Linked DNA regions of Diceros bicornis minor. The protein of the gene in region 1 interacts with the protein of each later gene in a pairwise test. Links are inferred from orthologs where the notes say so. Each region holds a gene or a part of one and is shown in the gene's direction. Other genes may lie near its edges.

Evidence for each region.
Region 2: the proteins of TRIB3 (region 1) and ATF5 interact in a two-hybrid assay, tested with the Homo sapiens proteins (2 studies listed by BioGRID and IntAct). The link is inferred for Diceros bicornis minor from reciprocal best matches to the Homo sapiens genes TRIB3 and ATF5.

Annotation. Positions count from the first base shown.
Region 1 is NC_080758.1:28,574,263-28,590,654, forward strand, and holds the start of TRIB3 (tribbles homolog 3), read left to right. Parts: upstream 1-7,578; 5' UTR 7,579-7,754; intron 7,755-11,188; coding exon 11,189-11,479; intron 11,480-13,368; coding exon 13,369-13,661; intron 13,662-16,392. UniProt on the Homo sapiens protein: Inactive protein kinase which acts as a regulator of the integrated stress response (ISR), a process for adaptation to various stress. Inhibits the transcriptional activity of DDIT3/CHOP and is involved in DDIT3/CHOP-dependent cell death during ER stress.
Region 2 is NC_080773.1:25,272,514-25,288,942, forward strand, and holds the start of ATF5 (cyclic AMP-dependent transcription factor ATF-5), read left to right. Parts: upstream 1-13,429; 5' UTR 13,430-13,658; exon of another isoform or gene 13,659-13,808; intron 13,809-14,971; 5' UTR 14,972-15,090; coding exon 15,091-15,268; intron 15,269-16,219; coding exon 16,220-16,429.

The DNA of each region.
Region 1 (16,392 bases):
GACCTCCTTCATCAGCACACCCGTCAAGTGTCCCCTCAGCCTTGCATAAGCCATTCCCCCTGCCTGAACAATTTGCCCTCCAGAGAGTCTCATGGCATCCGCCGGACCACCCTACCCACCACCTGCCTCCATGCCCCCTCCTGATCCTCTTCACCCACTCTTCTATGTTTCTACTCTTTTCCTCTAATACTCTCTAACATGACCTATAATTTAAGTATTTATTATGTTAATTACTTCTTGCATATTTTCTTTCTGCTGGGATGTAAGCACTGTTTTTTGTCTGTTATTTTCATGGCAGTATCTCCAGCCATTAGAATAGTGCTTGGCAATTAGGAAGTACTCCATAAGTATTTGTTGAATGAGCGTATATATGGTTCGATGCTGGAAAGATGTATAGGTGGGTGGGTGGGTGGATGGATGGATGGATGGATGGGTGGATAACGGTTGAGTGGAGGGTAGATGGAAGAATGGAGAGATGGTAGGAGAAAGTTGAATGCATCGGTGGTGGGGAATGGATTACAGGTGAATGGTAAATGGATGGATGAGGCACGAATAAATAGGTGGAAAGATTTAATCCATTCATCTACTATTTACTGAACACTTACTGTGTGCCAGGCACTGTACCAGGACCTGGAGATACACTGGGAGCCAAACTGGCAGCTGCCTGCCCTGAAGGAGCTTACAGTTTAGTGGGGGAGACAGACACTAAATAAATGAAAAAACAAATACATATATAATTCCAAATTATAATACGTGCTATGAAGGAAAAGAACAGGATGCTCTGAGAGAGAATAATATAGATGAGTGATGGAAAAATGGGCAATAAATGGGCAGATGGAGGTGGATAGGACTCGGACGGGGCTGCTTTACCTTAACGGTCCCGGCCGGCCACATGTACCATCCATTTTTAGACCTGGAGCCTCCCACCCCCACCCCCTCAGCTCTGACCTCAGAGACACTGTCCTCTCTCTCCCTGCGCTGACTCAGCACCTGCCCCCGCCCAACCTCAATGACCCTGCTGACTCTACCTCCAGCCCCCACCCTGCTGAGTCACAGTCTCATGCTAGTCAGGGGACAGCTCCATGGGGGCCCCCAGCTCAACCCAGCCCCTGGGCCATCCTCAGCCTGGGTGGGTAAGAGGCCCAGGAGGGAGGCCAGCAGATGCCAAGCTCCTGATGCTTGTGCCTGACACAGCTCTCTTGATTCTTAAGAGTGTCTCAAGACACTCAGGCCTGGGGCTAGAGCTGGGTGTATCTGGGGACTGGGGTCAGGGGTAACAGATTAGAGCTAAGTCTGTCTGCGGGACTATAACTCAGTCAGGAGCCAGAATTGGAATTCAGGCCAGGGGTCAGGATGGGAAAAGGTGGGTGCCCAGTCAGGAACCGAGTCAGCACTCAGTTTGGTGCCAGGGTCAGGGTTTAGCCCTGGCTAGGGGCAGTGATCAGGGCTCAGGCTATGGCCAAGGTTTCAGGTTAGAGTTCAGTCAGAGTCCAAAGTCAGGGACTAGGGCTCAGTCTATGACCAGAGTCAAGGGTCAGGGCTCAGTCAGTGTCCAGGGAGGGACTGAGTGGGGGAGTTCGCTCTGGACTCCTTGAGGAGCACCTTCCAGCCTAAAGTGCCATCATCCAAACACTCCCCTCCATGCTCTCGCCCTCCCCAGGTCACTCCCGAGGGCCAGGCCTGGTTGAGTGTCCCCCACAAGGCCTAACAGTCCTTACTCTAGCACCCCAGGGGCTCCGGCTGGGATGGGGGTAGGGGCTATGGGGCAGGACTCCACGCCTGACCCAGGAGGGCGCCTTGCGCAAGGCTTTTCTGATGCAACCGGCTGCTGGCTGAACACCTCGAAGTGCCCCCCCCACCCCCCATCTCACAAGCTTTTCTCAGAAAGGGAAGGGCTGGACAGTGGCCTGGATGGAACACAGCATCCCTTTCCTTCCCTGGTGCTGATGGCTTCAGAACCGCAGGGGGCGGGCAGGAAGGAAGGCAGGCAGGGCAGGGATCAGACGACTCAGCAACTCAGTGGCAGCTCCAGTACTGGGAGGGGTGGATCTGGGCTCCCTCCTCCCCTCAGCTGGAAGGTAGGGGACAGAGCAGGATCCCTGGAAGTTCAGAGAGCCCCATCCTTACACACATGAAGCAGTAATTTTGTGGCTGAGCCGGGAGAGGGACTGGGGCTGCCCAAGGTCAAAGGCAAGGTCAGAACCAGAAACCTGCCTTCCTCCTGCGGTATCCAGCTCCTCCCACCGCAGGTTGGGGAGAGGACCCCTCACCCTTGAGGGGGGCACAGGACTTCCCCAGAGCTTTCAGCCAATCTCCTTGAGGCTCCTGAAATAGCGGAAGGACACGGGCTTTGGAACTACACAGACCTGGGTTCAAACCCCTGGACTTGCTGTGTGATCCTGGGCAGGTTACTTCTCCTCTCTGACACCTGGTTTTCTCACTTGTAGAAAGGGCATAAGTTCATCCTTAGCTCACAGGGCTGTGGTCAGGATTACAGGAGAAAGCAGACGGAGGACACAGCCCAGGCCTGCCACACGGGGGATGCTCAGGAGGTGTGTCCCCACCTCTCCCTCCACCCTCAGCTCTCAAGTGGTGTGTGTTGGGGTGCAGGGGAGGCAGCAGCCTGGGCTCCGTAGACATAATATTGCCGCTTATCATCAAGTGCTTACTGTGTGCCACGAACTCTTCTAAGCACCTTACCTGTATTAACTCATTTAACCCTCCATTTAATCCAATAACAGTTCCCGGTAACAAGAAGCAGTTCAATAACCCTATCAGGAGGATGCTACTATCAATTCCATTTCATAGATGAGGCTCTGGGTCTCAGAGCAGCTAAGTGACTTGCCCAGTGTCATATAACTAGTACTGGCCAAAGAGGTTATGTAAGGCTGTGGACAAAGACCACCTGGGCTTTAAGCCAGATAGACAGGCTCCTAATCACACTACCCTCCTCATCCTTAGGCCAGTGATGTCACCTCTCTGAGCCCAGTTTCCTCATCTGTCTCCAGGGATGAAAACAGCAACTCCCTGGGAGGTTTGAGGATGCAGTGAGGTGATGTAAGGAAGCACCCACACAGGGCCATGCTCCATCCTCAAGCACAGGAATCACATTCTTCCTAAAGAAAACCCAGGCCCACAGGGCAGACCTGGGTCACCTGGCAGGGCCGTGGCTGCCACTGGGCCACCTCTGGGAAGATGCTGTGCCCACGCACAGGGCTTCCTGCCTTTCCTGAGGCCCAGCCTCAGCCACATTCGGATGATGAGGGATTTCTGCAAAGCCCCTGGGAAACCCCAGAGAAGGGGGGGTGTCTGGTCTCCTAATGAGGGCTCCCCAAGAGGAGCACAGGCCTAGAGCTGCAACTCTTGAATCACTCACTGCTTTTCCCAAATTGATTGGCTCAAATCCATTTACGCATCTGTATTATTAGTTTCCTGATGTTTTTCTTTCAATCAGCTTATTTTTTAAAACTTAGGTAAATTCATTTAAAAGGGAACATTTAAGTCACTGACCTCAAATGGAAAGCCACTATCATTTCCGGTAAGGAGAAAGTCACCATCAAATTAAATACAAGGAAAGCAAAATAAGATTCTTCAAGCCTAGCAAAATCCTGTTTCTTGCTGAAGGCTCTGGACTGAGCCCTGCTCTCTCTTCCTTACCAAGCGAGTTGTTAAAGACAGAGAGGCTGTAAAATGAGACTTTTCCCCCCAGTAACTGGAGGAACAGGAAGAAAATCAAAAGGAAATGCATGTACCACCAAATGATTCAATGATTCAGAGTCTTGAGACCCCACCATTGCTATACATGTCATATTTTAGAAAACACCGACCTAATCCAACTCTTTCTTCCTATTTTACAGACAAGAAACTAAGGCCCCAAGAGGGAAGATGACTTGCCCACCATCTCACGGGGTCAATGGCTTCAGCCAGACCTGAATCCAACCAAAATTCTTTCCAAAGCATCTTTTCGCTTTCGTGGGCACAACTTACCAAGCGGAAGGTTTTGGGGCCGGCCTGGTGGCACAGCTGTGAGGTGCGCACGCGGGGCTGTGACCGCCCAGGGTACGCCAGTCCGCATCCCCCGTGCGCAGGGATGCCCTGCTTGTCAAGCCATGTTGTGGGGGAGTCCCATATAAAGTAGAGGAAATTGGGCACGGATGTTAGCCCAGGGCCAATCTTCCTCAACAAAAGGAGGAGGACTGGCGACAGACATAGAAAAAAAAAGCTGAAACGTTTTAAGAACACCAGCGGTGGCATTTCAGGCTTGAGGCAGGCACCAGCGACGGGGTGTGGAGGAGGGAGGCGGGCGCGGCTCCTATCATCGCGGTCCACGGACTCCCACCCCCACCTTGGAGCGCAGCCTCCCCGCCCCGCGCCGAGTTCCTCCTCCCAGCGCTGGGGGTCAGCGGAACTACAGCGAATAGAAATGCAGCCCGCGTGGCTCAGGCATCTGGGTGGAGGGACGTTCTGAGCCCGCAGAGAAGGGAATTGACGAAAGCCCAACTCTCCATCCAGGAAAGTGCACATTTTTGCATTTAATTTTGGGGCGTTGATCACCATTTATTTTCTCTTCTTTTAACAAATGCTTATATAGCATTTATATGCCAGGCACTTCACAGATATTAAGTCATTTAATCCTCATAACAAACCGATGAAGTAGGCACTATTATTTTCCCCGTTTCACAGATGAGAAAACTGCCTCAGTGCATTTAATCCTTAGGACTACAATGCAAAGAAGGTATAATCAATCCATTTCATAGATGCAGAAACTGAGGCTCCAGGCTCTGTGGCATCTATACTGCAGACCCCACGCTCTTCACTTCTTTGCTATACTCCCTGGAATTCTTGGTCTAGGGGTGTGCTACTCAATACCATAGCCATTTGCTACACGTGGCTCCTGAGCGTTTAAAATGTGGCTGGTGTGACTGAGGAACCAAATTTTTCATCTTACTGAATTTTAATTTTAAAACAGGTAGCATATTTTTTCCTTTAAACCCAATTTAATTGTTTTGGGAGGACAACATTTCACTTTCACCACTGACAATTTAGCTTCCATGCTGATTTGTGTCCAAACCAAGTATGAAATACACACCAGATTTTGAAGACATTGGTATGAAAAAAATTTTAGATTATCTCATTAATAATTTTTATTATCTTATCTGTTGAAATGATAATATGCTATGTTATTGGATTAAATAGAATATTTAATATTTATTAATATTAATTCCACCTGCTTCTTTTTATTCTCCTGCAATACCTGACTAGAAAAATGAAAACATACTTGGCTCATGTTATGTTCTATTGGAAAGTGCTGGTCTAGAGAATTGGGATTTGACACCCCCAACTGTGACAAGGCCCTCAAACCTGGAGTCCAGGCCCAGGGTGCGGTTCCAGTGACCATCCACAAGTCCGGGTGGAGGCTGCCTTCGGGTTGCAAAGATTGTGATCTGTCCCTGGACAGTGTGGGCACTGGAGTTAGCTGCCCCAGGTTCAAATCTCAAATCTGCTTCATACAACGAGCTCGGTGGTCTTGGTAAGTCCCTCACCTGGACTCATCTATAGAACGGAGGTGACAGTGCCCATCTCACAGTTCCTTAAGTACCTCAGGGCCTTTGCACTTACTTTTTCTCTGTCTCCCCTCACATCTTTGCACTCCTCACCCCTTCGCTTCCTTAAGATCTTAGTTTAAACATCACCTTCCTGATGACTCCTACTGAAAATAGCCACCGCTCAGTCATATCTGATGGAGAACAAATCTATCCTGTTCATTCAAGAAAATACATAACATTTATAACCTATTTTAAATGATCTCGGCTATTAATTTTATTTTCTTGATAATGGTCTGTCTCCCCACTGATTTATAAGATCCCTGAGGGCAGGAATAGGTCAGACTTGTCACGGCTGAGTCCCCAGCATTTAGAACAGGGTCTGACACAGCATGAAACAAAGTTAGGAATGTGGGAGCAAACCCAGACAGTGCTGGCTCCATCGAGGTGCTCAGAAGATAAGAATGCCTGCCTTCTTTTGCCCCGGACGGCTGCGGGACCTCCTGGTGTAGAAAATGAGTCCACCCATCCCTCCCGGCAGGGGAGTCTCCAGGGTTAAGTGAGGTGCCACAACCCCCTGCTGTGCTCGGAGGGTTCTGAGACACAGGGGAGCTGGTCCCTGGAGTGCTGGAATCAGGGAAACAGAACTCCACCCACCTCCCATCCAACTTCTGCCCCAAGGAGTTATTTTTTGACACTGGTGAATTCAGATATCAAGACCTAAAAGGGATTTCCAAGAAAGGTGCTGGCCCCTTGGGGCTGCACAGGGATGTTCCATCAAACAGCAAGGGCCACCAAGGCCTCCCAGGTCTGGAGTGTGAGCCCTGTAACGGGCACCTTCCCCTCTCTGAGCCCCCGTTGTCCCCACTCTATTTATTGAGCACCTACAACATGCCACACATTCTAAGTATTTTACACGTATTAATTTATTTAATCCAAGCAACAACCCCGTGAAGTGAGTACTATTATAAGCCCGTTTTACGGAGGAGGAAACTGAAGCAGGGTTTTCAGTATCTTTCCTGAGGTAGCACAGTGGGTCTGGGCAGTGGTGGGGTGCACTCTTAGGCAAGCTGGATCTAGGGTGTTTGCTCTTAACCACTAGGCTGCACTGCCTCTGTCAAATGAATGCTGTGAAGCCCACCCAACCTCAGGCCTCTCCAGGGCACCCCACTGGTTCTTTTGAGCCTGGAGGCGGCTCCTAAATCTGTGGTCTTTGCAAAACTCCAGGGCTGCTTTCCCAGAGCGGAGCTTCACGCTCCCCCTGAGTAGAATAGGGAGATGGAGCTTCCTGCCCCCCTGGGGTTCTCCTAAAGGTTTAATAAAGCAATGGTGGCAAAGTGCTTTATATATATATATATTTGTGTGTGTGTGTCTGTGTGTGAGGAAGATCAGCCCTGAGCTAACATCCAATGCCAATCCTCCTGTTTTTTGTTGAGGAAGACTGGCTCTGAGCTAACATCTGTGCCCATCTTTCTCTACTTTATGTGAGACACTGTCCCAGCATGGCTTGACAAGCAGTGCGCCTGTGCACGCCCGGTTCCGAACCTGAGAAGCCAGTGCCGCTGAATCGGAGCGCGTGCACTTACCCGCTGTGCCACCGGGCAGGACCCCAAAGCGCTTTATAAACGGGGAAGCACCCAGGAAACTGTCACGGTTTGCTCTTTCTCCTTGGAACCATCCTGAGAGGGAAGGATGTTCTTGCTTGCCATTTCACAGATGGGGAAACTGAGGCTCAGAAAAGCAAAATGCTTTTCCCAAGGTGATAGGGAGAGTCGGAGGCAGGTGTCCTCGCTCAAACTTCGGGCACGGGGCAGGAGGGGAGGGAGTGGAGACCAGACACCCCTAGAGGGCGGGAGAGGCGAGGGGTGCCGGGGCGGAGCGAAAGGGAGGGGCCGGGGCGGGGCGCGCTCGGCGGTGACCCCGAGGGGCGGGGCGCGGCGGATGGTGCAATCCCCGGCCTGAGGGCATCCGGAGGCGGCTGATTAGCTCAGGTTTACATCACCCGGGCCGGAGCAGGAGCCCGGCGCCTGGCGTCCCCGAGACACTCGCAGCGGAAGCGCCGGCGGCGCCGCACGCGTCCGGCTGCTGGGGCCGGGACAGCGCTCCGTCGGGATCCCGAGCTCGGCACACCGGACCGACCCCGGGCCACCCGGGGGCCCCGGCGACTCTGAGCTTGAGCGGCGGCAGGACCCCCGCGCACGCGGGAGCAAGGTACCCGGTGGGGACAGGAGAGAGGACGGAGATGGGCGGAGGGGGACCGGGAGCCTCTGGGCGGCTGCGGGTTGCTGCGTGTTACACACACGCGCGTGCACACACAACTTTTAACAAACCCCGCAGTCCAGGGCGCGACCTGGGCTGAGTGTTGCCGTCGCGTCTCAGGTGACACGGCCCGGCAGGGCGTGGGGTCGCCCGAGTGTGGCCGACTCGGGCTGGGCCGAGGGTGCGCTCCCGTGGGGAGTGGCAGCTGTGTCCCGGGGGCAGAGGGGGCCGGGGACTGAGGTGTCCGGGTGTCGCCCCGAGAGGGGTGTGCGGTTGTCTGTGTTTTGTGTGAGTGTGAGGCGGGGGAGTTGTGTCGTTTGGTGCGGGAGGTCTGGGGGCGCCTGTGTGGGGCATTGGGGGACTGCGTGTAGGGTCTGTGTCACTGTGGGGGCGTGCCTGTGGGGATCTGCGGGTGTCCACGTGACCCTGTGGGGTCTGGGCGGGGATGGTCTCGGGGGTCTGTGTCCTCGTGGACTGTGCGAGCTGTGGGGAGGGTTGGGCACCTGGTGGCAGGTGTTGGCTGTGCGGGGACACCGCCGGGAAGAGCTGGGGTGCCGGAGGGGGCGGGGCGGGGAGGGAGGTGGGGGGGTGCACGGCGAGTGGGAGCGAGGATGCAGCGCGGGATGCGGGGCCCGAGGGCGGTGCGGCTTCGGGTTTGCACGTTGTATTGTGCGCGCGTGTATTTGTTCCTGCCAATGGTGTGCATTGTACCTGCAGACTCGGGCGTGTGGGGGCGAGGGCCCAGGTCCGCCCCTTCTCCCAGCCTGGGGCCCAGCCTCCTTCCCTTTGCCTCACTGCCCCCACCCCTCTCGGTTTCCGCCGAACCTTCTGCCCGGGACACCCGCGGCCGCCGCTTCAGCTCCCACCGGAGGGGCCTGGCTGCGGAAGGCGCCGGGAGGGTGCTAACTGCCTTCCGCGGGGTTGGGGGGGCGTGTCAGACTGTGCGTATGGCCTCGTTGGTATCAATCCTGCAGTCCTGAGTGTGATAGTGGGGAGAGCTGTGTGTGTGTGCCTGTGCACTTGCCCTGGAGGGCGAGGTGTGTGTCACGTAATGATATGTCCCTCTCTGCCCTGGATGTGCGGCGCGGGCTGGCTGGCTTGGACAAAGTGTCTTTTTGAGGGGCGTGAGTACACCTGTCTGCCCTGGGTTGTGTGTGTGTTTGGTATGGCTCACTCTCATTCCCCGGAGGTGTCAGGGAACAGCAAGAGGTAGATATTGGGGGCTGCCTCCATCCTACAGCAGAGATTCTAGTCCTGCAGTGTGGCCTTGCTCATCTACAGCCTCAGTTACCTCACCTGTCCAGTGAGCTTATCTCAGACCCAGCAGCCTCTGGGCATGGATGGGACCAAGCAGCCTGAGTGCTGGTGTGGCCCCCAGAGGGCCCCTCCAGGGAGTCTCGTGCTGCCAGGGCACAAAGCATCCACACAGCCAGGTGTCATCCTGTGTGACTCTCAGAACAGCCCTGGAGGTAAAGAGTGTCATCCTAGCCTCACCCCAGGGAGATTCCTGAGCCTTTCAGGGGTAGCACTTTAGCATCTTCAGCTACGAATAATAATAATAATAGTAACGGACCAACAGTAGTGACCATTTTCTGACACCTACCCTACAAAAGGCCACTCTAGTTTATTTGTGTTTTCATTTCATCATCAGAAAAATCCTATGGGCTTTGCATCCTGTTCCCACTTTACAGATGAGGGAACTGAGGCTCAGGGAGGTTGAAGAGCTTGCCCAGGACTACCCAGCCAGGAAGGATCTGAGCCAGGATTAGAACCCAGGAATATCTGACTGCAGCCACCCCTGATTGCATTCTTACCAAGATGGGATTATGGCCTTTCACTCGGGGTGGGGGTGGGGGTGGGGGTGGGGATTCCCTCCCTTCCTCCCAGGCCAGCCCAGACATTTGGGAGCAGCGTGATTGGAGAGGTGGGCCTCAGTGTGAGAACTGACTGAGTCATGTTTCCCTGTTAATCCTGCCTGGGACTGTTGGGAAGGTCTCACCTGGGCTGAAGTCCATCTCCCTCTGACTCCTCTTCCCTGGGCTCCGTGTCCCTCATTTGGAGCCTGAATGGGTGGGCAGATGGGTCCTGGAGAGAACTTTTCCGCCCAGACATGCCATTGCCCTCTCCTCCACCCACCACACACGGTGACACAGCTGCACGGGGGGTGGCTTCCCCCACAGCTGAATGAATGAATTTGGGGGCCTTTGACAGACCCTCCCCTCCCCGCCTCACCTCTCACATGAGGGGGAAGCTGAGCTGGCTGGGGGACTGACTTCGCCTGTGGTCCCTGTGATTCCGGGAGCTCTTGAGCCGTCAGGCAATAGTAGATAAAATTCACATTTGAAAAAAAAGAAATACACTCTGATCTGAAATACTCAAGCAGTAAGTGAACGCAGGATCTTTACCTTACAATACTGAAATTGAAAATTCCCTTGCCCCCCTACCAAATCCCTTCCTCCCCTGGGGGCCTCCAGTTTAGTCTGGGTCCTTCCAGACCTTTCCCTGTGCATTCACACACCGACATACACGCAAACATGGAGCTACATCATTTTATATGCTGGGGGGTCTTTGCATAAATGAGGTCACCTTGGGTGTGCTGTTCAGCAGCCTGCTTTCCCCTGGACAGTATGTCCGTTCCAGAGCGCACATGCACATGCGCATTCAGGCCCACCGCATTCATGCAGCACCCTCATCATCTTACTCCCTCCTTCCCTCCCTCCCCGTCACGGCTCATAGCCTCCTGCGCTATGACACTCAACAGATACAATGCAAAGTCTTTCTTCCTCCCTGTCACAACCACTAAGTCTCTCTCTCCGCTTTACCTTTTTTTCTGTTTTCACTTAACAGTTCACTTTGGAGATCTTTCCAATCAGCACATAAAGAGTTTCCTCAATCTTTTGAATGGCTACAATTGTTCCCTGTATGGATGAAATACAATTTATTTAACCAGCCCCCTAAGGATGGACGTTAAATTGTTTCTATCACATGGGCTGCAGGAATAACCTTGTACTTGCATCGTTACATCAGTGTATAGAGAGCTTCCCAGTCCTTTTTCAGAGCTGTATAGTATTCCACGGTATGGCTGTACCATGGTATTTAACCAGCCTCCCACTGCTGGACACTTGGGAGTGTTTCCTGCCTTTTGCTATTAGACACAAGGCTCTGATGAGCAGCCTTTCACATATTTAATTTTTTGGTGAGCATTTTAGTTGGAAGATAAATTCCCAGAAGTGGGACACCCAATTAGGGCTATGTGCACTTGTCAGTCTAATACACACTACAAATCATCCTCTGTAATTGGCTGGGCCAATGTACCCTCCCACCAGCAGGGGAAGAGAGGGCCGCCAAACAGCCTCACTTGAGTGCCTTCCTCTCCTTCTTTCTAGATGCGAGCCACCCCTCTGGCTGCTCCTGCAGCTGCCCCCTCCAGGAAGAAGCGGTTGGAGTTGGACGACAACCTAGACACTGAGGCTCCCACCCGGAAACAAGCTCGAAGTGGGCCCCCGCCCAGGCTGCCCCCCTGCCCACTGCCCCTGAGCCCACCCCCTGCTCCACTCCGTGCCCCTGCTGTGACCACCGCCTCCCGGCTTGGGCCCTATGTCCTCCTGGAGCCTGAGGAGGGCGGCCAGGCCTACCGGGCCCTGCACCGCCCCACAGGAGCCGAGTACACCTGCAAGGTACCTGCCCTGGGGGCCACTCTCCACCAGCGTCACAGGGGGCCTGAGAAGGGTCTTGGTTGCAGAGGATTGCCAGGGACTGGGGGGTCTTTATATTAATTTATTCCTGTGTTTACTGGGGAAGCAGCCCGTGAGCCCCCAGCTCTCTGTCAAGCTCCAGGCTGGGGCTGGGCTGAGACAGGGGTAAACCAGACAGTCCCAGCCCTGGGGGAATTCACAGTGTAGGCCCCATAGTGTGATAAACGGGGTGGTGCTGAGGGGCCCTGAGAGCACAGGGGAGAAGCCTCTACTGTAGTTCAGGGGGGAGCCAGAAAAGGCTGAGCAGGAGTTAGCCAGGGAGAAGTGGGAGAAGGCAGGTCCAGGCCGGGGAAACAGCTATGCAGAGGCCCAGCGGAGTGACAGCTGGGTCCCCTTGGGAGTGCACAGAGAGGCAGAAGGACTTAAGCCTCCACCTGGGAGCAGCAGCAGCTGTCTCCAGCTCCTGCTGGGTGGGGGTGGGGAGGCAGAGGGACAGATCTGGGCACATCGTCCAGCCACCAGCTTCACCTGGGCTCCCTGCGTGCTTGACCCCAGGTGCTCTAAGGGACCTCTGAACTCTGGGTCCCCTTCCTGCAGCATCGCAGATTCTTTTCTGTTCCCACTGGGGAGGGAGGTCCACGCTGAGAGGAATGACCCAAGCCAGCTCGGACAAGAAGCGTCACGCTTTCACATGGCCCCCATTATTCAGCAACATTTAGGGGAGTCTGCTGGGGTGCGCTGGTCCCCACACCAGCGTGAACCGCAGGGGCTGACCCGCCATCTCCACATCGCCTAGGGTTTTCTGGTCAGAGCGTAGAAGGAGCAACATCGTGTCTTTGTAGATTATCGCCTTATTCATTAATTCCACACACCTTCAGTGAGCACCTGTATGCGCCATGCAGCACGCTGTCGTTCAAAAACAGACAAAATTCTGCTCTCATCAAGCTGACATTCTAGCGGGGGACACGGACAATAAACAAGTGAATAAGTAAAATATAAGTCAGGTGATCGTAAGTGCTGCGGAGGAAAAGCTAGGAGCTGGGAGAGAGGGGAAGTGGGGTAGTGGGGGCAGGTGATCTTAGCTGGGGACAGCCGGGACGACCTCTCTGAGGAGGTGACATTGTAGCAGTGACCTGCATGAATTGAGGGAGCCAGCCCTGTGCGTGTCCAGGCAGCAGGAACAGCCAGTGCAAATGCACAGAGGCAGTAATGCGCTTGCCCTAACTTTAAAAAAAGTCTCTGTTTTTGGATTATTTCCTCCATGCCACCACAACTGTTTTTTTTTTTTTAGACATATGCTTACACTTTTTTTCCCATGGATTACATATGTCTATGCTTTATTTATTTTTATTTTCTGTGCGGCATAGACAAAATAACATGCAAAAGGTTTAAAGTCAGATGAGCCAAAGCGAGCACACCAGCTTTGCCGCCATATGGCTTGCAACAACTCACCTTCCTCCTCTGAGCATCCTCTCAGGGCTATGGTGAGGTTTCTGTCTAATGTCCCTAAAGACCCTAGCACATTTCTCCAGGACCCCACCCTCACCATGGCCCCTCTGCCCTCCCCCACCCTATTCCAGCCGTACTGGTATTTGGCTGGGTTTCTAGTGCAGCTCAAGCTCTTTCTTGCCGCAGGGCCTTTGCACTGCCTGTGCCCCCCAACTGGAAAGCTTATCCCATGGGCATCTCTGAATCATTCAGGTCACTTCCCCAGAGTCCCTTCTGGACCACACTTTCTAAAATGGGTGCCCCCTTCCAGAATATTCTCTATTTCATCATCCTTCTAAAGAGTTGGTTGTGACTCTTTCCAAGGCCAGCCGGGGGTGGCTCCACGGGTCCCCACCTCTGCTCACGCCATGCTCCGCCCCCAGGTGTACCCGGTCTGCGACGCCCTGACGGTGCTGGAGCCCTACTCGCAGCTGCCCCCCCACGCGCACGTGGCCCGGCCCGCCGAGGTCCTGGCGGGCACGCGCCACCTCTACGCCTTTTTCCCGCGGCCGCACGGGGACATGCACAGCCTGGTGCGCCGCCGCCGCCGCCTCCCGGAGCCCGAGGCCGCCGCGCTCTTCCGCCAGATGGCGGCCGCCCTGGCGCACTGTCACCAGCACGGGCTAGTCGTGCGAGACCTCAAGCTGCGTCGCTTCGTCTTCACCGACTGTGAGAGGTGAGTGTGGCCGCAGAGACCTCACCCCCAGACACACCCCAGAGTGGGCCCTAGTGGGAAACTGAGGTTCAGGAAGGCGAAGGAACTTACCCCAAAGGTGGAGAAGCCTGGGCTAGCACCGCCGCCTAGTTCGCCGGAAAAGTCACTCCGCCCTATCGGAGCGCCCTGCGATGGAGCGTAGCCTGGGTGATAATCGTAACGGCTGACGGTGGTGAAGAGCAGAGCTGCCCTGTCTGCGGTGGCCGGCATCCTTGCAAATCTGCGGGAGGCACTGTTATTATTGTCCCCACGCGGCAGGTGAGGAAACTGAGGCCCAGAGAGGCCAAGTAGCGCCCAAGACCCCGCGGCTACATGAATAGTAGAGCTGGGATTTCCACCCAGACGGGACTGCAGAGCCGGAGCCTAATTCACTCTGAGCTTGAGAGGCTGGAGGCTGGCTGGGCTTGGCCACTGACTCTGGGTGACCCGGTGTCTCTGGACCTCAGTTTCCCCGTTGGTGGGGGAGAGGGCTGGCTTGTCAAGATGTTTCCAGGCTTCAGGGCCACAGACAGCAGCCAAAACAGGCCCTGAGGTTCCCCACATGGGAACTTTTCCTGTGAAACTGAGAATCAGTGATTTTTGGAAGGGGAACAGACAGGGACCCGGCATCCTGCCCCTCCCTAGACCCCTCGTGTGACCAGGATGTGTCAGGGAACACACCAAGCCACCAGGTCCACATGAACACCCATCAGGAGCATCGATTCCATGTCAAGACTTTTTTAGGGTGGGAGGAAGGTGACCCCATGGCACTTTTTAAAACTTTTTATATTGAAATACTTTTAGACTTTGAGGAAAGTGGCAAAAATAGTCCAAAGAACTCACATATGTCTTCCACCCAGTCTCCCCTCATGTTAAGGTCTCACATAACCATGGTACAACTATCTGCACTCAGCGATTAACCTTGGTCTGGTACCGCTAACTAAACCACAGATCGATTCAGCTTTTGCTAGTGTCCCACTAACATCCTTCTTGTGGCCGGGAGCCCATCCAGGAATCCGTCGTCATGTCTCCAGTCCCAGACGGTTCCTCTGTCTTTCCTCGTCTTTCTTGACCTGGACACTTTTGAAGAGTGCCAGTTGGTTAGTTTGCAGAACACCCTCAGTTTGGATTTCACTACGTTTTTCTCACGGTTAGACTGAAGTTATGCGTTTTTGGCAACAAAACCCCAGAAATGAGAGGCCCCTCTGAGTACATGGTATCAGGAGATACCTGATGTTGATCGTATTACTGTGATGTCAACCTCGATCCCGTGGCTCAGGTGGAGTCTGCCAAGTTTCTCCACTGTAAGCTTCCTAATTTACCCTTCGTAATTAATAAATACCTTGGGTAATACCTTGTAATTAATAAGTCCCTTGAGCTACTTTGAAGTTATGCATGTAAATACCCTGGTTGTCCTCAGACCTTCCTGCACTGATTTCAGCAGCCATCCATTTTGCCTGGAGCAGTTATTACTATGACATTTGCCTAAGGGTGATTTTCTATTTCTTTATTTCCTTCTGTATTTTATACTAAAAGGAACACGCCTTTAGTAAGAAGTAGACTGTAAGATGTATAATGATTTTTAAGCTAGTGCACAACTTCCAATAATTTTGAGCTTAGGGTGAGGACAAAACCCCAGACCTCCCAGAGGTGAGAGAATGCTTCCTTCTCTTTTCAAGGCAATAGTTTGAGAAACACTGTGGGTAGAAGAGTGACAGTGGAGTCAGACAGACCTGGGTTCGAATCCTGTCTCTACTTTTTACCTGCTCTTTGCCTTGAACAATGGCTTCACCTGCCTGAGCCTTGATTTCCTCATCTGTAAAATGGACCAAGAATGCTGACACCTCCCCCACCACACACACACACACACCTTTTCTGTAATTCACAGGATTGGTCAGTGTTTGTGAAATGCCGCAGGCACCCAGGAAGTGGTGCCATGGGAATAAGATTGACAGCAGTGGGAATAGAGTGGTTATTATTTAAAGTACCCTAGAGGCCTCCGGGGGAGTTGTTTAAAGCAGAAGTTGCAAATGGCAGGCTACACACACATTTTTATTTTTGCTCCACATACGTGTTCGTTTTTAATTGAAATTGGTTGCCAACATTTCAAAAACTGGGACTTTTTCATTAAAATATGATTTCTGGCTTCTCTTGGGAAAAAATGGGACTGTGGAGCCACCTTGGGAAATATCTGAGTGGTTCATAGCACTGGCTGTGTGTCGCTGAGAGCCAGGGTTCACGTCCCAGCCCTGCGCCCTGTGGCTGTAGAATGGTGTCCTCCCCACGGGTTGTTGGAGGGTATAATGAAGTGCGCCAGGTAAGGAGCCTGGCTCCGGGGCAGGTCCACCACGGGCGCTCCGTGGAGATTCACTGTCATGTTGTCAGTGGTGCCCTTTTTTTTTTTTTTTTGTGAGGAAGATCAGCCCTGAGCTAACATCCATGCCAATCCTCCTCTTTTTGCTGAGGAAGACTGGCCCTGGGCTAACATCCGCCACAGCATGGCCCGACAAGCAGTGCATCAGTCCGCGCCCAGGATCTGAACCCGGGCCACCAGCAGCAGAGCGCGCACACTCAACTGGCACCACTGTGGCCGGCCCCATAGTGCTGCCCTTTTTAGGCAAGGTTTGTGCTGAGATGTTGGCACAGTCCCTACTTTTCTTATTTTATTACCTGCCTGGACCCTAAGTTTGCATCTGGTTTAAGAGAAGCTTAG
Region 2 (16,429 bases), on another chromosome or scaffold:
CCGGGCTTTGCCGGTTCGGATCCTGGCACGAACCGATACACCGCTTGTTCAGGCCATGCTGTGGCAGCGTCCCATATAAAGTGGAGGAAGATGGGCACGGATGTTAGCCCAGAGCCAGTCTTCCTCAGCAAAAATAGGAGGATTGGCAGATGTTAGCTCAGGGCCAATCTTCCTCACACACACACACACAAAAAGAATGGAATAAACTGACAAGCAACGAGCGGCTTGCTAACCAGACCTTAGCCTAGGCAGTCTCCACCGTTCCAGGCTGAACGGACAGCGGTGCAAAGGCCGAGGCAGGAGCGCGCTCCGCGGGCTCCCGGGCAGGCAGCAGTCAATGTGGCTTGACCAGAGGGCTGTATGAAGCCACGGGAGGGTTCCAGGTGTCAGGATCTGACTTACATTTTGAAAGACTCACCCAGGTTGCCGGGGGTGGGGTGGGGCACCACTCTTGCAGCCCCCTGGTGGGAGCTGGTGGTGGCCTGGGCTACCCTGTCTGGCACTTACACAACCACCCCACCTGGTGGGGACAGCCAACCCCAGTTGCAGGAAACTGAGCCTCAGAGAGAGGCAGCCTCCCACACAGCCCCAGACGGGCGGCGCTGCCTTTCTAAGCCAATCCGCAGCATGGAACCCTCAGTGCTCACCTCCACGTCAAGGCCATCTCTCCTCCACAGTACAGGTGTCCCCAACAGGGTGGTGGGATAGAGACCCCTCCTGGTTTCAACTGCCCTCTCTCACCTCCTTAGGCCACCTGGGATTCTGGTCCTAATTTCCTCCGTCCTGCTCCTTCTCCCGGAGGACAGGCACACTCGAGGCCATTCACCCTCCCAGGTGTAACCAACCTGAAGAGACAGACGAATAGAGGGCATGTCTGTCTGCCTGCTCACCACGGGGAAGGGCTATGGAAAGCCTCCACTGCCTGTCATGCTTCCAGGCTGAGTCATGTGAAGGGATCCCTAAATGTCACTGCATACTAACCGCCAAGAAGGCATTGTCACACGTGTTCCATTTCTCAACCTATCCAATGACATATTGGTGGTTTTTTTTTTTGGTAAGGAAGATTGGCCCTGAGCTAACATCTGTTAGCTCCTCCATTTTGTATGTGGGAAGCTGCCACAGCATGGCTTGATGAGTGGTGTAGGTCCACACCTGAGATCTGAACCCGTGAACCCCGGGCCGCTGAAGCAGAGCATGCAAACTTAACCACTATGCCACCGGGCCAGCCCCTTAGTGGGTATTTTTTTAAAAATGAAAATGAAAATTATTTTTGTGAATAGGTAGCTGTTCACGTGCCTCTATGTTCAAAAGGTACAAAAGGGAACACCATGGTCTCCATCCTCCCCCGTCCCCCAGCCAGCAGCTCTCTTCCCTGGAAACAAGCTGTTAGGTTTCGTGTGCCTCTTTCCAGAGATTTGTGGTGCATTTAAGCAAATGCACAGTTTGCCCTCTCGCCCTTTGTGCACACGCGGTCATGCCAGACACGCTGTTCTGCACTGTGTCTTCTCACTGGATCTCAGAGTCATTTTCAGCAGGCTCACTGCCCTCGTTGGACAGAGGAAGGAGGCCGTCAGAGGGGAGCCACGTGGCAGAGGCACCAACATGCTGGCTCCTCACAGTTGCCTTGAGCTGCTACCTAAATGCTTCTTGGATTCACAGCTTCTCAGCCATCTCTCTCCTTCCTTTCTTCTCTTGAAACACTCTGCCCCAAAAAGTCACTTCACGACTAATTGGCAATTACACTCTCCTTCCCGCTCCCGAGGCCCGAACTGTCGCTGAGGGAGCTCAGGTGATGGGACAAACAGCAATTCTCCCCATGGGGAAAACGAATCAGGGAAGACGTTCATGGAAAGAAGTCAGGAAACAACCTGATACACACAGCCAGAAAGGGGCAGAGGTCCTGAAGAGGAGATATTAAGGAAGATTCTAGAACAACCACTCTAAATATAAAATAATGCGACTGGACGAGATCTGAGGAATACTCTGGTGCTGGTCCCTTCTTTTTGCCAAGAATGTTTTGTTTCTTTCTCTTGTATTGATTTTTTTCTCTACCTAACTGCATTTTTAACATTTGAATTTTAACTCCACAATGCATCCATCAGTCCTTTCTTTAAAATAGTTTTGAACACAAAGCTAAGATTCCCTTGATCACTGTCCTCCATCCTGGTCCCCACCCCGGTGAGGGCACCCCAGTTAAGAGCTGCAGTGTTGGGCCGGCCCGCTGGCGTAGTGGTTAAGTTCGCGTGCTCTGCTTCGGCAGCCTGGGGTTTGCAGGTTCGGACCTACTGCACTGCTCATCGAGCCATGCTGCGGCAGCGTCCCACATACAAAAATAGAGGGAGACTGGCAAGAGATGTCAGCTCAGGGCCACTCTTCCTCACCAAACAAAACAAAACAAGGAGCTGAAGTGTATCTTTTATCTATGTATTTGCGTGTGTGCTCATAGCCAGAGGAAATGTGTTTATTATTCCTGTGTTTTCCCTGCTACACAGGGTATCACACTGTTATGTGTCACTCTACAACTTGTCCTTTTCCCAACGTGCTTTTCACTCCTTCTAGCCGCTGCCAATCAGTGCATGGTATGACGACACCACATTTTATTGATCCATGCCTCCACTGGTGGACATTTAGGATGCTTCCAATTTTTCCTCACCATAAACAATACTGCCACAAGCATGCTCCGTCCTGCTTTCTTGGCACAGGCGCAGACATTTTTCCAGGGCAGATCCCTAGAAGTAGAACTGCAGGCCGTGGACTCCTGCATTTCTGTTTTACTAGGGGCTACCAAACGCCCTGCAACCTGCCACACCTGTTTTTACTCTAAGTGGCAGTGCCTGAGACGACCACTGCCCTGCAGCCTGGCAGCACCTAAGAGGAGGAAAGTCCTGCCAATCTGATGTACCAACTGCATTTATTAAAGAATAATGATAAAAGACCTAACCACTCAGCACTCACTCTGCCACCATGTGTTGGGTAACTCACAAATATACCTCATTCATTCAGTCAACAAACATCCACTGAGACTTCAGACAGTACAGGCCTTGTGCTGGGCAAACAAAAACAATCTGGCACGGCCACCAACCTCAAAAACCCGGAGTGTTGTTGAAATGTGATGAAGGAAAAGCCACCAGAATTGAAAACAGGTACTCAAACAAAAACTTGTACACAAATGTTGACAGCAGCATTATTCCCAATGGCCGAAAGGCGCCCTCATGTCCCACCACTCTTTGCCTCCATCATCCCACTCCAGTGCCACCAGCCTCCTCTTGTTCTTCAGAAGTGCCTAAAGCGCTCCTGCCTCAGGGCCTTTGCACTTGCTGTTCCCTGTCCCTGCAAGGCTCTCCCCTGAGATGTCCCTATGGCTCACTCCCTTACCTCCTGCAGGTCTGTGTTAAAATGTCACCTGCTCATGAGGTCTTCCCTGGCTATCCTTAGGACTTAGCACCATCTGAAATATAATATATTGAACTGATGGATCTCGTTTATTATCTGTCTCCCCATTCGAATGTCAGCTCCCTGAGCTGTACAACTGTTTCATGTACTAACCTGTTTAGTTCTCACCCCTCCCACCATGAGGGTACCACTAGTATCTCCCTTTTCGAGTTAAGTAACTTGTCTAATGTCAACATCAACGTCAAAGTCAGGAAGAATAAGACAAGGTCCTGCTCTGAAATAATTCAGAGTTTACTGAGGGTAACAGACAAAGAGAGAAATTATAGGACGACAAGGTGGATGCTGGGAAAGAGCTTTGGTTAGAACCTACTGGAAGCCCAGGGGAAGTGGTGATTAACTCTGCCTGGGAGATGTGGGAGAGGAGGGTCTTGGAAACCTTTCTAAAAGAGGAGGGGATGTTGAAGCTTGTTTCGAGGGATGTGGAGGAGTTACTCAGCGTAGGAAGAGAGTAGATTAACACCTCATCCCAGGCAAAAGCTCTGACAGGCAAGGGCCTGCTGCTTTGGGGAACAATGTTAAACCTGTATTAAAACACAAGATGCCAGGGCCGGCCCGGAGGCGCAGCAGTTAAGTGCGCGCGCTCCACTGCAGCAGCCCAGGGTTCGTGGGTTCGGATCCCGGGCGCGCACTGATGCACTGCTTGGTGAGTCACGCTGTGGCGGTGTCTCATACAAAGTGGAGGAAGATAGGCACGGATGTTAGCCCAGGGCCAGTCTTCCTCAGGAAAAAGAGGAGACTGGGCAGATGTTAGCTCAGGGCTGATCTTCCTCACACGCACAAAAAACACAAGACGCCAAAGAAGATACACAAATGGCGGACAATCACATGAAAAGATGCTCAGCATCATCAGCCACCGGGAAATGCAAATCAAAACCACGAGATACCAGTGCACACCCCCTAGGATGGCAATAATAAAAAAGATGGGCAATATCAAGTGTTGGCAAGGATGTGGAGAAACTGGACCGCTCGTTCATGGCTAGTGGGAATGTAAAATGGTGCAGCCACTTTGGAAACAGTCTGGCAGTTCCTCAAAAGGTTAAAACATAGAGTTACCCTAGAATCCAGCAATTCCACTCCTAGGTATCTCTCAGAAGAAATGAAAACAAATGTCCTCACAAAACTTGTACATCCAGGGGGCTGGCCCTGTGGCTTAGCAGTTAAGAGCATGTGCTCCGCTGCTGGCGGCCCGGGTTCGGATCCAGGCGCACACCGACGCACTGCCTCTCCGGCTATGCTGAGGCCGCGTCCCACATACAGCAACTAGCAGGATGTGCAACTACGACATACAACTATCTACTGGGGCTTTGGGGAGAAAAAGAGAAAAAAAGGAGGAGGATTGGCAATAGATGTTAGCTCAGGGCTGATCTTCCTCACAAAAAAATAAAAAAAGAAACAAAAAACACAAAAGTTGTACATGCATATTTGCCAAAAAGTAGAAGCAACTCAAAAGTCCATCAACTGATGAATGGATAAAATGTAGTACATGCATACAATGGAACAGTATTCAGCCCTAAGGAATGAAGTGTCGACATATGCCACAAAATGGACAAACCCTTAAAACCAGACACAAAGGACCACCTAACGCATGATTCCATTCATACAAAATGTCCGGAACAGGCAAATCTAGAGAGACAGAAAACAGATTAGTGGTTGCCTAGGGCTGGGGGATGGGGGAATGGAGAGTGACTGCTAATGGGTATGGGACTTCTTTTTGGAGTGACGAAAATGTTCTAAAATTAGATTGTGGTGATGAGTGTACAACTCTGTGAATCTAATAAAAACCACAGAATTGTACACTTTAATAAATGGGTGTGAATTACAGCATCTCAATAAAGCCATTCAACAAACCAACCAAGCACGGGATACTGAGAAAAGGTTGAGAGGGTGGGCAGGGGCTGGGCAGAGTGGTTTCTTTTTCTTTCTTTTTTTTTTTTGTGAGGGAGATCAGCCCTGAGCTAACATCCATGCTAATCCTCCTCTTTTTTTTTGCTGAGGAAGACCGGCTCTGAGCTAACATCTATTGCCAATCCTCCTCCTTTATTTTTCCTTCCCCGAAGCCCCAGTAGATAGTTGTATGTCTTGGTTGCACATCCTTCTAGTTGCTGTATGTGGGACGCGGCCTCAGCATGGCCGGAGACGCGGTGCGTTGGTGCGCACCTGGGATCCGAACCCGGGCCGCCAGTATTGGAGCGCGCGCACTTAACCGCTAAGCCACCGGGCCGGCCCTGGGCAGAGTGGTTTCTAAAGACAGGACCAAGCTTTCCTCTGAGGACAAGGAAAACTGGTTGAGAATGGGCTAGGGACGAGACTGGAGTTAAAATGCTCAGTCAGCTGTGAGGCCATCAGGGGGCTTCATGGGAAATGCAGCTAGGCATGGATACAACACTGAGATATCAAGACCTGGAGAGGGGATGAAGTATCACGGCCAAGGGGCTCTAAGAGCAAAGCAGGTAGGGCTGTGCGTGTGTGTGTGCATGCATGTGTGTGTGTGTGCGCGTGGAGAGGGGCTGAAGCACCACGGCCAAGAAGCTCTAAGAGCAAAGCAGGTGTGTGCGTGTGTGTGTGCATGCGTGTGTGTGTGTGTGCGCCTGGAGAGGGGCTGAAGCACCACGGCCAAGAAGCTCTAAGAGCAAAGCAGGTGTGTGCGTGTGTGTGTGCATGCGTGTGTGTGTGTGTGCGCCTGGAGAGGGGCTGAAGCACCACGGCCAAGAAGCTCTAAGAGCAAAGCAGGTGTGTGTGTGTCAGAGCCGCACACACCTGAGCTCCCTCCCCAGCCTCTCTCCCGTAATCAACACCAGCTAATCAACACCAGCGTCCCAGGGGAGAGGCAGTGATGTCAGTGGGGGAAGGAGGGAAGGGTCCAGGCCAGGTTGTTGCAGAGACGGTTGCCATGGAGATGGCTTCTCTGGGGACCAGGTGAAAGCTGCCAGAGGTGGGGGCAGGGTGGCTTTGATTCTGAGAATCAGAACTAACCAGAGCCCCTACCTGTCCCTGGATACCAGTCACTACACTAACGTTTCTAGCACTTATTATGTGCCATGCCCTGTTCCCAGTCCTTACCTGCACGGACTCACAACCCTATGAGGTGGGCACTATCAGCGTTCCCATTTCACAGATGAGCAAACTGAAGTTGAGAAAAATCAAGTAACTTGCCCAAAGTCACACAGGTAGTTAAGACTGACCCAGGCTGTCCGGCCCCAGAGCTGAGCTGGGGCCTCATGAGCCTCTCCAACGTGACATTTTTTCAGCCCTGCCAACATGTACTGTGTCCCCTACCCTCTTCCCATTCTCTAATGACATCCCGGGCCAACTCCATCACCTTCCAGACTAGTTTAGATTTTATTCTTGAATCTAATTCGGTGCTGTCCGCCTCCCCTCAGCTGCAGGCTGGCCTCCTGGCGGCCTGGAGTGAAGAGTGGGTGTCAGCTGCTCTTTCCTGTCTCTCTTCAGGAATCTGTTCCTGCTCTGGGTGGGGGCGGGCAGGAGGGGCAGGAGGAGAGGGCAAGGGGCTCTTGAACCAACTGGGCTCTGGTGACCCTCGATGCTCTCCGTAAGGCGGTCCCAACATGTCTCTGGAGGGGCACCTGGGGGACCTGGGAGGCTTTCCTGCTGTGGCTCCCTGTCTCTGCTTCAATCCTTCTCTCTTGCCCCCTCACCTTCCACTACGACTGGCTGCCCGCTGGGTTCCGAGCTGCTAGTTTCCTCGGTGCTCAAGCGACCCTGTGGGAACTGGGCATCCGTGGCCCACCTCATGGTGGGGCACAGGCTACGCTGAGGCTGCCCCGCCCCGCCCCAGAGCCCTGCCATTGCTCTCCACCTGTCTTCCCTCATCTTGGTACGATGAGCTGTGAGAAAGGAAAGCAGCCCTGACAGCCAGACCCTGGGGCTCTCCTGTTAGACATACCAGTGTCACTGGACACCCATATCAGGCAAGGCCACTCGGACCGTGATGGACTGAGACAAAAATAAGACCACTCCGGAGTCGCATCTCAACACAGACAAAAACACGAACATTGTCCAAAGCACAAAAATGACCAAACATCCTCCTCCCGGCTCAGAGCTGCTGGCTGCTTCTTAACCAGCGCATCAACTCCATTCATTCCTCCCGCCTCTGGATAAGATAAAGACACCCAGTCACAGACTTGCCCCTGCTTCCTGCCAGCATCCGACCCAGAGCAAAGCCCCGCTTCCCTGACCCTTCCCCAAAGTCACCGGACCCTGCCCAGCTCCTATAACAAGTCCTCGCTACCACCCCCCTTACTGAGAGGCCCCTTGGGCCCCCATGGCGGGCGACCTCCCCAGCTGGTGGCCTCTGGCTGGGGGCACGGACAGCTGACAAGGAACAGACAGGGTAATAAGACGCCAGCACCCCTCCAGCAGGCACCCAACCCTCACTGACGATTCTCTAGAGACTTCCTTCCCTGCTCCCCACAAACACTGCCCTCCAGACTGCACATGGCATGAGGCTAAGTCTGAGCGAGACCCTGCTCCTCTTCAGTCTTGGTCAGTACAGCAGGGAGGGGTGTGGCCCGAATTCCCAGTGACTCTAGGATGAGGAGCACTGGGTTCCTTTTGTTCTCTGCTCCGGGCAGAGGGCTACAGATTTGGGGCTGCAGTGGAATCACTGAACACGAAGGTCAGGGAGGGCCCTGACCTAAGCCTATCCACATTCGTGATTTGTTGGGGTTTCTCTGAATTATTCGCTAACCTTTTAAAACCTGAATCTTGCAGAAAAATCTAGATTTCCAACTTCTCCTGTAAAATCAGAAGCTCCGCATCACCAGGCTGCACTGCTGCCAGGCAGATGGGCCGTCCCTGAGCTGCACTTGTGTCTTTCCGGTGGTCCGGGGGCTTTGCAGAGCCACCTCTGAGACAGGGCCTGCGGGGATGGCTCACTTGCTGAGCCAGGCACTGCTCTAGGCCTTTTCACATATATCTCTGTGGTTCTCACCACTGCCCTCTCAGGAGGGTTCTGCTACTGTCCCCACTTTAGTGATGAGGCCACAGAGCAGGAAGTGATGGCATCCCAAGATCCAGGACATTATGTTGTCAATTACCTTCAGTTTGCCCTGTCCTTTTCCTATAGCCAGTCCCTGTGGGCCCGTGAGGGAGGGGGCACCCCAGGGCTAGCCCCAGTCTTTATCTCCCAGATGAGGAAACTGAGGCTCTGAGAGGGGAGGTGTGGTAGGCTGGATAATGGCCCCCCCAAAGATGTCCATGTCCCAGTCCCCAGAACCTGTGAATATGCAACCTCACGTGGCAAAAGGGACTTTGCAGATGTGATTACATTAAGGATCTTGCGATGGAGGCATTATCCTGGATTATCTGGGAAGGCCCTAATGTCATCACAAGGGCCTTTATAAGAGAGAGGGCAAGAAGATCAAAGGAGGAAATAGGAGATGTGATGATGGAAGCAGATGCTGGAGTGATGTGAGGACGGGGCCACAAGCTAAGGAATGCAGGCAGCCTCTAGAAGCCAGAAAAAGCAAGGAAATAGATTCTCCCCTAGAGCCTCCAGAAGGAACCAGCCCTGCAGACCCATTTTAGACTTTCCGGTCTCCAGAAACGAAAGGGAATAAATGTGTGTTGCTTTAAGCCACTCAGTTTGCGGCAATTTGTTACAACAGCTAATACAGAAGATGAGCATCGAGGATGCCCGAGCTGGTGCGGCAGGGTAGGGCCTGACTAGGTTCTAAGAGCTGCAGCTGCTTCTGCCAAGGGAGAAGAGCAGGAGCAAGGGGAGGGGCGGGGGCCTCTGGAGGACTCTGAGCCACCGGGCCACGTGGCAGACCTGTGCTCTGCATGTCCAGCCCCCGCACTGCCCTTTCCCCAGCTGAGCTGGCCTTAGCCTTCCTGCCCTTGTTTGCCAGGACGTGTACCTCCAACCTGTCCCCCTGGCCTGCATGACCCAGATACCTGCCCCTGTGCCTCTTTAGAGACCACAGTATTGAACCCCAGCCTCTGTGCATGAGCAACTCACTTACAAATGAAGTGATGTCTACTGAGACAGCAGCAAAAGACTGGGGGCTGTGGGCAATGATTCTGGGAACGAGGAGGGTCCCGACCTTGCCGTCTAAGTGCTCGCGGAAACAGTCACTTACACAAACATCTGTCTGAAAGCAGAACGAAGTGTAATGGGAACAGGAAGAGAAACAAACACACATAGACCCTGAGCTCCTGGTACACGTTGGGCCTGACCTCCATCATTTCATAGACTCTCCCGGCACCCAACCCTTAGAGAGAACTAATGTTCACAACTGGGCAGGCCCCGTTCTAGGAAGTTTACATGCATTTACCTATTTAATCCTCACCACAACCCTCTGAGGTGGGTCCTCTTAACCCCATTTCATGGATGCGGAAATCGAGTCTGAGAGAGAAGATGCCACTTGCCGAGGGGTCACCGAAGTGGTGGAGTTGGGATGTGAACTCAGCAGGCTGGCTCCAGAGTCCACGCACTGACCCACTTTGCAGAAAGCAGCCGAGGCTTAGGCACAGGAAGGACCTTGTCTGCATCCCCGGCCAGGGCTGAGTGATGCGGGCTCAGGATGAGAACCTGGGTCCATCTGATGCAAACTCGGTGCCTCTTCCATCATGCCAGGCTGTCACCTTGATTGGGAAACCAGTGAGGGGTTGCTGCAATAGTACAGGTGAGGAGGGCCTGCTCTAGGGCAGCGGAGGTCACAATCAATAGAATTTGGCAATTGTGAGCAGCAGACCCGAGGTGAAGGTCTAGGCTGGGTGGCCTCCCAGCAGGCTATGCCCTGGGCCAGGGGTCAGGGACCCCGTCGATCTGAGAGGAGACAGGCTCTCCCTGGGGCTTGTAGGGCCTTGGAAGCTGTGCTCTATAGTCGAGGCCTGGGCTCTCACTAGCAGTGTGATTGTGCTCAATGCCTTCCACCTCTTGAGGCCTCTGTCTTGCCCCCTGCAAGACAAGTGGGTTGGCGCCTATAATCTCAGGCCTCTCCTGGGCATGTGTCTCAGATTCCCAGGGTCCTGCACAGGTGGCTGCTCTCCCTCCCCCTCCTCTGCCCCTCCCTTGCTGTGCTGGGACCTCTCCCAGATCCAGGGCTCTAGTGCTCTGCTAACCAGGAACCATTGCCAGGTGTGCTGGGGCCCCCCAGAGAATCCCCCCACTCCCCCTCCCCAGTAAGGAGCCAGGGTGATGCAACCTGCCTGCAAGGGCCACCTCACTCCCGGAGCCGGGCTCCTACGCACTGAAAAAGAGTCCCCAGCAGCCCCACCCACGCTCCTAGCTCCAGCTCAGGAGCTGAAGGGGCTGGGGCCCCTGGACCCTGGAAGACTTTGTGAAGCAGGAGGCCGAGGCACCCGAGTCCCAGAGGGACTGCGGGTCTGGGTCAGGGGTGGGCACAGGACAGGGCTCAGGGTGCTGAGACCTGGTCTCACAGACAGCCACTGATGACCTACCGCCCATAAATTAGAACATGCTGGGAAGAGCTAGGGAGCTAAGTGTGCGAACTGGCACCCTCTCAGCAGGACTGAGTCAAGTGCTTGAGTGGGGCAGTTGGCACCAGGGCTGAACTAGGTGGGATCCAACACCTATAGAGAGAAAAAGGCACAAGGGACTGGGACAGGGGACCAGGGTCCCTGCCCTAGTGTCTTCTCAGTCAGCATACACCGAACACTCATTTCCAGTTATTAAAAAATATCCTACCTAGCCATCCTCTCAAAAACCCATAACCCCAGTCTATGAGACAAAACCAAATTGGGGGACATTCCACAGAATACCCAACCACCACTCTTCAAAGCCGTCAAGGTCATGAAAGACAAGGGAAATCTGAGAACCTGCCGCAGCCCAGAGAACGCTAAGAAGACAGATGACTAAATGTAATATGGCATCGTGGACAGACGCCGGAATAAAAAGAGGGCATTAGGGCGCAACTAGTGAAACCAGAACAGAGTGTGGAGTTTAGTTAATAGAAATGTATGATGTTTGTTCCTTAGTTGTGACAAATGAACCAAGTAATCTAAGGTGTCAACAACGGGGGAACTGCGTGAGGGGTATATGGCAACTCCACTATCTTTGCAACTTTTCTGTAAATCTAAAATTACTCCAAAATAAAAAGTTGATTTAAAGAAAAATACTTTACCTAGTCCACGTGTATAACCTAGGTCTTTCCAGAAGGAGAAGACTCTGGGTGATGACTGGGCCTCCTCACTGCCAGCAGTCTGTCCAAGAGCCTACCCTACTCTCACCTGCTGTTACTCAACATCTATACTGAGAAGCAGAAAGTCGGCCCCTAAGTCTCACTTAAAAGGTGGAAGACTTTTTAAAGAACTTACTGCTTAGCAAAGGAGATAAAACACACACCTCACTAATAATAATAATAATAATACCCCCTTAGGTAGCACCTACTGTGTGCCAGGCACTAGTCTAAACGCTTGACCTCGGTTAACTTATTTAATCCTCGTTAACAGTACTAAGAAATAGGTACAATATAATAATGGCCACGTACATTGGTACGTTTCTATTAACCAAACTCCACACTCCATTCTGGTATTATTAATGGAAACTGAGGCACAGGGAAATAAAGGACATTGCCAGTGAGCTACTAAGTGCGGTGCAGTCAGGGATGGAACGCAATAACCTGGTTCCAGAGTGTGCTCTTAACTGCTCCTCTATACCGACTAGGTATAACGCAGCCCCTATAGCGCCAGTGCTCAAATACCAGCAGAGTGGACAATAAGTGTCTAAGGGAAAGTGGTCAGATCCCAAGAAGGACTTGCTGCATGCAACAAAAGCCTGCGTATGTTCATTCCCAGATAACTCTCAAGATCGGGGTTCCCCCACCTTCTCTGGATCTTGATTCAGTTTCATAACCAACACAAAAGTGATGAAGGCTGAACTCCAGGTGTCACATCCTGATGTGGACAGAGGCAGGGTGGGAAAGGGAGGGGTTTCTGCAGCAGAGGAAAGACCCGCATCCACTTGGGCTGGTGGAGGGCCCAGCCACAGGGAGGGGATGGCGAGGAAGCTCTCCTCTTTTAGCAAATGCAAGTGTAGGTCTCCCCATTTTTGGCAGGGCTGGAACACGGATCCAGTGGGGCGCAGCAGAGGCGGGGGACTCTTTGAAAGGAAGTCAGGGTGAGGGGCAGGGGCAGAAGAATGAACCAAGTGTCTCGAAAGAAGTGCTGAGGATAAGCGCTGAGGGGAGGTGGGCACGGGATGGAGAAAACAGCGAGGGCGACGATGCCTGAATTCCCTGCACCGAGAGGGGGCTGACCGCCCATCATCTGGCGTGGAGGAGGGTGGGGACGGCTGGACACTGAGGAGTAAAGGCGACACTGCTAAAGAATGACCTATTAGCAGGTGTCGGATGGTCAGGAGTCTGGGGCTCTTGGCAGGAGGAGAGCAAGGCGTCAGACCGAGCCCCAGAATTCGTATTAATAATAAAACACACCGAACAGGCCTGCAGGGAGCCGGGCCCTGGGTCCCACGGCTCTCCGCTTATTTCATTCGCACAAACAACCCCACCTCATTTTGCGAACGGTTCCCCATCTATGAGGCCAGAGAACTTAAGTTATATGCCCAAGGCCACCCTGGCCGGTCTATGACTCACGCCAGCCTCGAACCACAAAAAGGGTTGGGGGACGGCAGTTGGGGGATAAGGAGACGAGCATGCGGCTGGCCGGAAATTCGTGAACCGGGGCAGGGAAACAAGAAATGAACCGACGCGGGTCTCGGGGAAGAGGAGGGGCCGAATTCCCGGAATCGCAGGGAGGAGGGGGCTGGACCCCCACGTCGGGGGGAAGGGAAGGCCGGAACTCCCGGGGTCGGGAGGAAGAGGGGGCTGGATCCCCGGATCAGAGGAAGCAGAAGGGCCGGATCCCGGGGTCGGAAGGAAGAGAGGGCCGGATCCCGGGATCCCGAGGGGAGGCCAGGCCCGCCCCCCGGTTGGGGCCGCGCGGGGGCGGGGCGCGGAGGGATCCGAGCGGGCCGTGCTGCGCCGCCCCCGGTATATCTGTTCCCAGTCCCCGGCGCCGCCTCAGTCCCCGTCCTCAGATCACGATCTCTCCTCACGCTACCCCGACGCCGCCTCCGCCCGCGTAGCCCCGGCCATGGCTCTGTAGCCGCCACCCCTCCGTGCCTCACGGCCCATCTCCGCGCTCACCGCGCTTGCGCTCTCCGCTCCCGCCTTCTTTCTTCAGCCGAGGCCGCCGTCGCCTCTCCTTTCTGCAGCCATGGAGTGAGTAACGCTCGCCCCTCCCTCTCCAACCGCCTTTCCCGCCCTTTGGAAGCTCGCGGCCCTCACAACGCGACCTGGGGGATGGCGAGACGAGAGCGAGGAATCACGGTCGCGCAGGCGCAGAAGAGGGAAAACGGGCCGTCGACGCGAGGCGGAGCATGCGCACTCGGCTCGAGGGGGGGAGGGTGCGTTCTTCCAGCGAGTGTTGGAGTTTAAAGACGGCCCGCGTGAGGTTGCGCCTGCGCACTACCCCCCAGGACGATTCCGCCCTCTCGCGGTTGCTCATGCGCAGCAGCCCACCAGAGTCCGTATTTGCGTCCGAAGGGCGGGCAGTAAGCAGCCGCACATGCGCAGTGACCCCCAGGAGGACGAAGCATGTGCTTTGGCCCTGGGTTAGAGAGCCGGGAGTGGAAGGGTGGTGGCGAGGAGAGCTGTTCCTCCCCGGCCTCCCGGCTCCCACGACCTGCGTCCCGGCTTCACATTGCTCAGGCGCACTGCATAGCTTCTCTTTCATCGGGCACCTGTTGGGGCGAGGGCTGGTGTAGATTGACAGGGTAGAAGGCGGGACTTAGAGGCAACCTGTTAAAAAGGGGGTGGAGCTAGGATCACAGCCATCGGGAGGAGTGGGGCTTGAGGGAACCCATTGTGAGAGGGGCGGGGCTCAGCGAACCGTTTGCTGAGGGGCGGGGTTTCGATCCGAGAAAGAGGTGGGGCCTCGGGGGAATCATCGGGGAGGGGTGGGGCTAAGATAAACAGTGAGGGGCGGGACTTAGAGGGTCGGGGGAGGTCACCGCAAAGTTAAAAGGGCAGAGTGGGATTTGAGTGGATCACATGGATGAAGGGGCGGGGCAGGGGGAAATTCCCCTGGGAGCTGATTTGAGATGGACTCGAGGGAGGCGATGGGGCCTAAAGGAAATATTTTAGAGGGGGTGGTGCGGCTGGAAGAAAATTCCCCTGGGATTGAGTTTTTTTACGAAGGGGAATATTATGAGGTGGGTGGGAGGAGTTAAGGAAATTCCCCGGGGAGACCTGTAGGTTTCTGTATTGGAAGGATCCGGGCTTGGGGATTCTAAAGAAAAGTAAGTCGATCCTAAAGCGAATTCCCTTGGGAGTGGGTGGGCCTCAGAGATTTGGGGAAAGAAAGAGCAGATTTAGAATTCTGAGAGCTAGGCTCGTCCCAAGCCCAGTTGGAAGCAGGAGTGGGGGAGGGGGGAGGACCCCAGGGAGGTGGGGGTGTGGCTTGGTTTCCCTGTGACTTCCGTAGTGGGTGAGGCTGGCTTCTGACCCCAGTCGCTTTTGCCTCCCACATGTAGGTCCTCCACTTCCGCCTTGGTGCCTGTCTTCGCCCAGCTGAGCAACCTCCAGAGCCCCCTGTCAGCTGCCGGTGCAGCCTCCTTCGTTGCCATCCGCGCCCAGCGCCTGTGCTGCAGCCATGTCACTCCTGGCGACCCTGGGGCTGGAGCTGGACAGGGCCCTGCTCCCAGCTAGCGGGCTGGGCTGGCTCGTAGACTATGGGAAACTCCCCCTGGCCCCTGCCCCCCTGGGCCCCTATGAGGTCCTTGGGGGAGCCCTGGAGGGCGGGCTTCCAGGGGGGGGAGAGCCCCTGGCAGGTAAGGGCAGGCAAAGAATGGAGGTGGGGTGAATTGGGGTATGGGGGGCAGGGGGAAGGAGGAAGAATTCCTTCATTCATTTATTCATTCAATCCATCAATATTTATTGAGCACCTATAACATGTCAGGTGCTGGGGATACAGATGGGAACAAGACTGACACGATCACTGTCCTCCTGGAGTTCACACTCTAGTGAGGAGACAGACGAGACATATTCAATGATAATGTGGCATAAGTGGGAAACAGTCATTTAGCTGAAAAATGACAACGGGGACCTAGTTTATAGTGTGTAGCCAGGAAACCCTCTCCAAGTAGGTAGCGTTTTGGCTGAGGCCTAAAGCATGGGAGGGAATGAGCCATGAAAAGATCCAAGGGAATAGCTTTTCAGGAGGAGGGAACAGCATATGCAGAGGCCCTGAGGAAGGAATTATTTTATTCATTAATGTGTCCGACATGCTTGGTACATAGTGGGTTTTCAATACTTAATGAGTTAAAGAGGAAACGGGGTGTGTTGTGTATGTGCAATCTAGTTTGCCTTTTAAGAATAAACTAGAGAGTAAATCAGACAAACCACAGGTGTAGAGTAATCAGTAAAGAGGATGTTGGAATGGTTGAAGTAATGGCTAATTGTTTTGTTGTTTGGGTCATTGGGTGGTTGACTGGTTCACTGATTGATTGGTTAAAAGGTTGATTGGTTGGTTGACTGATTCATTTAGTTGGTTGGTTGGTTGGTTGATTGGTTGACTCGGTTAATTGGTTAGTTAGATGTTTGACTGGTTTATTGGTTGGTTGGTTGGCTGGTTTGATGATTCATTGATTGGTTGGTTGACTGATTGGCTAGTTGGTGGGTTTACTCAGTGAATGGAATGAATGAGGCTGACATGAGTGAGCACCCGGTTGGGTGGAGGACCAGGAACTCAAGGACCTTTATGTCCCCCTGCACTCCTCCAGGTGACGGCTTCTCTGACTGGATGACTGAGCGGGTTGACTTTACAGCCCTTCTCCCTCTGGAGCCCCCCTTGCCCCCAGGTGCCCTCCCCCCACCTTCCCCACCCCCACCTGACCTGGAAGCCATGGCCTCCCTCCTCAAGAAGGAGCTGGAGCAGATGGAAGACTTCTTCCTTGATGCCCCACTCCTCCCGCCATCCTCCCCACCACCAC